2 linked regions of the Drosophila melanogaster genome follow. The protein of the gene in region 1 purifies or fractionates together with the protein of each later gene. This does not show direct contact. Each region holds a gene or a part of one and is shown on either strand. Other genes may lie near its edges.

Evidence for each region.
Region 2: the proteins of SmF (region 1) and SNRPG fractionate together in Drosophila melanogaster (co-fractionation; one study listed by BioGRID). This does not show direct contact.

The regions. Positions count from the first base shown.
Region 1 is NT_033778.4:12,183,277-12,186,246, forward strand, and holds SmF (small ribonucleoprotein particle protein SmF), read right to left. Parts: upstream 1,035-2,970; 5' UTR 914-1,034; coding exon 647-913; 3' UTR 568-646; downstream 1-567. UniProt on the Drosophila melanogaster protein: Plays a role in pre-mRNA splicing as a core component of the spliceosomal U1, U2, U4 and U5 small nuclear ribonucleoproteins (snRNPs), the building blocks of the spliceosome.
Region 2 is NC_004354.4:16,639,310-16,642,427, forward strand, and holds SNRPG (small nuclear ribonucleoprotein G), read right to left. Parts: upstream 1,111-3,118; 5' UTR 1,029-1,110; coding exon 997-1,028; intron 932-996; coding exon 784-931; intron 722-783; coding exon 671-721; 3' UTR 501-670; downstream 1-500. Other genes in the region: mthl1 (methuselah-like 1), read left to right, coding at 2,168-3,118. UniProt on the Drosophila melanogaster protein: Plays a role in pre-mRNA splicing as a core component of the spliceosomal U1, U2, U4 and U5 small nuclear ribonucleoproteins (snRNPs), the building blocks of the spliceosome.

The DNA.
Region 1 (2,970 bases):
GCTTACTGGCCTTCCTCAATCCGCACTGGGATTTTGTCAATTGCCACATGGTGAACTACTTGACGGACCAGCACTGGGACGGCTTTTTATCCGAAACGCTGAAAAGTGAGATCGCCGGCAAGGAAGATGTGGCTCTGGCCATAGAAGACCTATTTTGGAAAACTGATGAATCAGAAAGGTTTCCGGCATGGCGAGAATTCCTAGGCAAGAGCAAACAAGAACGCCTGTCGCTTCAGAGGGTCAGGGGAACTCCACGCAGCTAAGCATTCGGGAGTTTATGAGCGCCAAAAAGTGCCATGAGGTAAGTAAACCAACCATTTTAAATGAGAGTATTTTAGGAATTGATTAATCTCTCCGATTAGGTGGATCTAACAGCCGTTCTCGTGGACCAGCTTGTGAAGAACTCCGGTCAAGATTGCTTCATTGTAGACGCGGGCGATGGCAAAGGGTATTTATCCTCGCGCTTGGCGCTCCAGTATGGTCACCGCGTGCTCGGCATCGATGCGAACGCGGCAAACACCGAGAACGCATTGAATAGGAATCGCAAATTGCAGGTAGGCCGGGCTTACAAAATAAAGTTAGCTTTATTTCATTACGTTTGTAGACTTAGAAGTAAGGTGTGGGTGTATGTAGGTGAATCCATTGGCTAGTCGCGCATTTCGCCCTCCTCGTCGTCGTCCTCCATGCCCTTGATATACAGCACGTTGTTGCAGCGGATGAGCACCTCGCCAAGATTACCAGTCACGGAGCCCTCGATCACTTCCTCCGTGTTCGCCAGCTGCATGTTCATGTAGCCGTCGACGGAGACCAGGAAGCCCTTGTACTCCTGGCCCCACTTCAGCTTCACCAGCACCGGTTTTCCCGTCAGGCCGTTCAGGAAGGGCTTGGGGTTAATGGGCATACCAGCCGACATTCTGTTTATTTGATTTTTCCTGCCTTTTTTATAAAATATTACAACAAGCGTGCCGAAAATCGCCGGCTTTTCGCGTTTTTTTTGTGTAGTGTGACCACAGCTGCGCTGTGTAAACATACCAGAACAAGAAGAAGAATAGCATAGAAGAAGAGTATTGAAAAACCATTCAAAAGCGCCAAAATTAAAATTTTATTTAATTTCAGCGCGCTTGGAATGGCCTTACGGAACGAGCGGAGCTGCAAGTCCAGGGAATCACGCCCAAGAGACGTGGTAAAAAGTCGCCAGCCAGGGAGAGCACCAAGAGTGCGCCTGCCTTGGAAAACTACAAGACAACGGCAAAGTTTATAACCACCGAACTTAACTTTGGTGCCCTGCTGGCGGAGAATTTCACTCAGTTTAGACCGGAAGACAGTCCAAACATTTGCCTTACTGGATTGCATACCTGTGGCAACCTGGCCGCCACCTGTCTTCAGGTTTTCCACGCCCAAACGGACTGCCGGTTGCTTTGTAATGTTGGCTGCTGCTATCATTTGCTGCGGGAGCGCTATTCGCAGCAGGAGTTCTTTGGCAATAAGTCCCTGATGGAGCTGCAAACAGACTATGGATTCCCATTGAGTCAGTACCTGCGGGAGCGACAAGTGCGAATGGGTCGCAATGCGCGGATGCTGGCGGCCCAGTCAATTGAACGCACCTTGGACACCAAGGAGCTGCCTAATGTAACGCTCTACTATCGAGCTCTCTTGGAGATTCTGGTTTGCCGCCATGCGCCGGAGCTGAAAAACGAACTGCAGGTGGGCAAGGTACGGAAATTCGAGAGTTTCGAGGAGTACATTCAAAAGTGTGCCACCAAATTGGATGCTCCCTGGTTGGCAGCTGTTGAGAAAGAAGAACTTCAATCCCTGCTCCAGGAATATGCCGTGCATAAATACTTCTTGGATCTGTTCTATCTGCTGCGCATGTCCTTTGCTCCGGTGCTGGAGAGTCTAATTCTCCTGGATCGCCTGCTCTACCTCAAGGAACTTGGCTATGAACGCAGCTATCTGATAGATTTATTTGATCCCGTCATTTCGCCCAGGCATTTTGCAATTGTTTCTATAAAGCAGCAAACGCAACAATAATGAAATTCACAAATGCATCAAAAGCTTGACGAGAAAGCCGGTTGTGTTTAATTATTTATAGATTATAGCGTGCAATACTTTTCATATCGTATATGTATTGCGTTAACGCTTTTAAAAATCTAACTAAACCATAGCACACAAAAAGTAAATAAGGTTGTTAAAACTAAGAATCATTATAATAAATGTAATCATGACTTGTAATTATCTTAGAGTCCCTCTGGATTTGCTGTGGTTTGTTTGTCGTATTTTAAAGCTTTTTCCACCACACAGGTGAATTTATAAGTATGCACTTGAAATTGCTATCTCAGAACTTTTGAGACTTTCGAGTATAAAAACGCAAACAACATTTCAAATCGCCCCAAGTGCGGTGCGTAGAGCTTTAATTGTCGGTTGTGTACGCGGGTGCTCAGAATTTATAGATCCAATAAAAGTTTCCTTGAAATTGCTGGACAAACTTGTTGCGAATTAGGCCAGTTGCAAATAAATTGTGTGACTAAAAAAACCTGTATATTTTCAAAGTAAGTTATGAAATTCGGTATACAAAATTGTATATTTTAATTTGAAAAAGTGTGATATCCTTGAAAAAACCACACTTAATATGGAATTGAGGGCAACTGTGAAAATTAAGATTACTTGGTTACTGTTACTGTTACTAAAATAAATAGAGAACTGGTTTCTAAGAAATATATTTTGGACATTTGCTCTATAGAAATAGTAGTCTCATGTATAATTAATAAAGCTTAGGACGAAATCCTTGCTGGCAAATTTTTAGTGTCATATTTGCTGCCCGAAAAGATTTTCTATTTAGCTTTACAAGCAGCTTAATTGGGTGTAGATATGGCGGGAATTACTATAAGCGTATCATAAACACTCATTGTAATGCTCCCTATCATAACTAATTGTAATTCGCGTTGGAATGGAAAAGATAATGCCAGCTAA
Region 2 (3,118 bases), on another chromosome or scaffold:
CATGCGGACTTGGTAAGGTTAATCTTTAGATTTAAATCATTCCCTTTTTGGTGAAATGGTGGAGCTGCCTTGCTTCAATATATATTGTGTCTTGTTTTCTATTCCATTTCGACAAATAAAATCTGCGGATAAAGAACTTTCTGATATACTTGAAGTAAACTTCTTGCATTGATTGAAGACTAAAAAGACGTAGCCTTTTATTTTGTCGATCGAACATTGTTATACAAATTCAAAAGGAGATGGCCAAAATCTTTCAACAAGTAAGGCACTAATAGCCGAAAATAAGTTAAATTAACAAAGAAATCAAGAAGCCAAGCATTTGTATAAAATCAAAGGCACAAAAATTGATTTGGAAACCAATTATGTGTAAAGCTATCTGTGTTTGCATTTCTTGGAAAATACATTTGCTAGTCTTGGCGACGTCATTTAAAGTGGCAATCTTCCGACTCAAGTTCCCAATGCAGTAAATCCACAAAGTACGCAATATTATTAAATATTTTCGACTTATTTTCCAAACTGCTCATATAAATTGTCAGTTCAAAAAGGGGTATCTTTGTTATAGAATTTATTCAAGAGTTTGTGTGTTTCTTCTGACTATGAATGTTACGGAGCCTTAAGACTAAGCACTACGGCTAACGATGCTCGACGAGATCGGGTTCCGAGGCGGGTGCTAGACCCTGTCCAGGGCCTCCACCATGACGATGCTGTTGCCGCGGATAACCTGGCCAGGTGGGAAAAACGAGTGAGTCGATAGTTTATGGCAGGGTATGCTGCGCATCTTACCACCATGCCGATGTTGTTCTTCGTGTTGTCCTTGCACTCCTCCACCGTGTCGTCCAGGACCACGTTCATGAAGGGATCGAAGCCTCGCAAAATACCGGTCACCGCGCGTCCGCCGTTCAGTTTCAGCATCATGCGCTTGTCCATGTATCTGCAAGTTGTATTGTTAATTGCATTTATGGAGCGCTATCTTTTTCCCACATGGGTTGCACTTACTTTTTCACCTCTGGGGGATGGGCCTTCGACATTTTGATGGTTTAATTTGCGCAAAATGGGAAAATTAAGTAAAAACGCGGACCGCAAGCTAGAGATGTCACTATTGATTGGAGCTATACTATCGTCTTGGTCACTCTACCAACTGGTCACACTTTCGGGCGGGAAAAATATTTTTCCGCCAAATTCGCTGGCTTTTAAGTGCTCACATAAATGAAATTTTCAAATAGCAAATAACATAGGAATAATCCTTCTAAATCGCAATATAAAAACATATATACAAGGAGTGGTAAATGACAGTATTCTATTAATGGCAAAACGATTTATTTAAACAGACGTCGCATCCGCATAAACGATCTTTCACACTTTTTATTAACGGTTAGTATAAATAAAAAAAAACATTAATCCTTAGTTTATTTAACCAATTTTGTTTGCTGAAATCGATTCTTGAAAGAGAAGCTGACATTTTTTTTATATATGCCTCCCTACTTCAGGCAGTGCGAACATACCGCATCAACGCGACTTGTAGCGGCCGTGTGAAAAGGCTATTTTGTGGTTAGCGCAGATCTGCGCTGCAGTGTGACCCCGGCTACAGGTATTTCGGCATCGCACAGGGTCACACTCGCCCAGGCACCCGTATAAAATCCCCGCCCCCCTGATCGACGATAGTATTTCGAAAAAAACGCGAGGAAAAGTCTGATGCGCGTTAAAATCGGAGCGCAAATCGTGCATATATTTTTTTTTACACACCGCGCGCCGTGTTTACGACTGAAAACGGAGACTGACTGAAAAGCCTTGGCGCACAAGCACGCAATGAAAACGCAACGATAAGAATGTGATATTGTGATAAATACATGATTCGCTGACAACTCTATTTTATATTGGAATGCATTCGAAATCGAACGCAGCGCAGCGTGTGTTGTTTACTTAACGATTTTCGGTGTTTGTTTGCCCAACTTGCGGCGGTGAAATTCAGCATTTTCTGATTTTCCATTTGCCAACGAAAGAGAGGAAAAGTGAAAAGTGCTATTCGACGAAGCGAAACGGAACGCAAAATCAAAAGAAAAACAGCATAGCTAAAGCTATGTGTAGTACATAGCCACATAAATTGCAAATTGAGGCCAAGAGACAAGAGAACCTGAAATCCACACAGATCTTGACGAGTGAGCTAACGATGGACAGGAGTCGGAGTAGCAGAGCTGCCAGCAGCAACCAGTTCATCAGGCCATGTGGCCTACTGACGACCGTCATCCTGCTGCAGACGCTTGTGTCGATGAGTTTGGCCATCGAGGAGATGTCGCCACCACCGGCCGCCCCGCCACGTCCATCGCCGCCGCCCACCGTGAAGCTCAACAAGTGCTGCCATTCGGGCGAGTATCTGAACGATGGCACCTGCATCGCCGGCAGCGAAGCCCTGTGGCTGCCCATGGTGTACTTGGTGCAGCAGCAGCGCTTCTTCGAGCCCCATGGCGCCAGTCCGCGATTCTTGAAGTTCCTGCCCAATACGAGACCCACGTGCCGAAAGGACCAGACGACGGAGATCTTTCGCAGCCGCGGAGCCAATGTGATGCTCTTTCCCAATGGCACGCTCTATGTGCGGGAACGCGCTCTAATGGTCCAGCCGTCGGATTACTGTGTCGACTGGGAGGTGGCCGTCGTTTGCTTGAACGACAGTCAGCCGATCAATGCTCTGGAGGATCCCGATTATGCAGCCAATCCTCTCGTGCAGCAGGAGCCGCCCAAGGCTAGCCTGCGACTGAGCAAGTGCTGCGGCAAGTGGGGCAGCTATAACACGCAGCTCCAGAACTGCGATCTGCAGCCCAACCATCAGGCAGCCGTCGATGGACTGCTGCGATTGTCGCCGCAGCTACCGGAGGGCAGCTATCAGACTAGCTACGGCCTGCCCGACTGTGGCCAACCCGGTGGCTACTCCATTGCCGGTGATTGGCAGGATGCCAAGCTGGATCGGAACACGGCCATGCTCCAGTTGCCGCACAAGAACCTCAGCGCCGGACAATACTGCCTGGAGCACACGCAGCGCGAGGGCGAGGTGAAGATCATAGCCTGCCAGCATTTGTTTAGCTCCGCGGCAGGAGCCGGCATCCACGACGGCTCCATTGGAGGC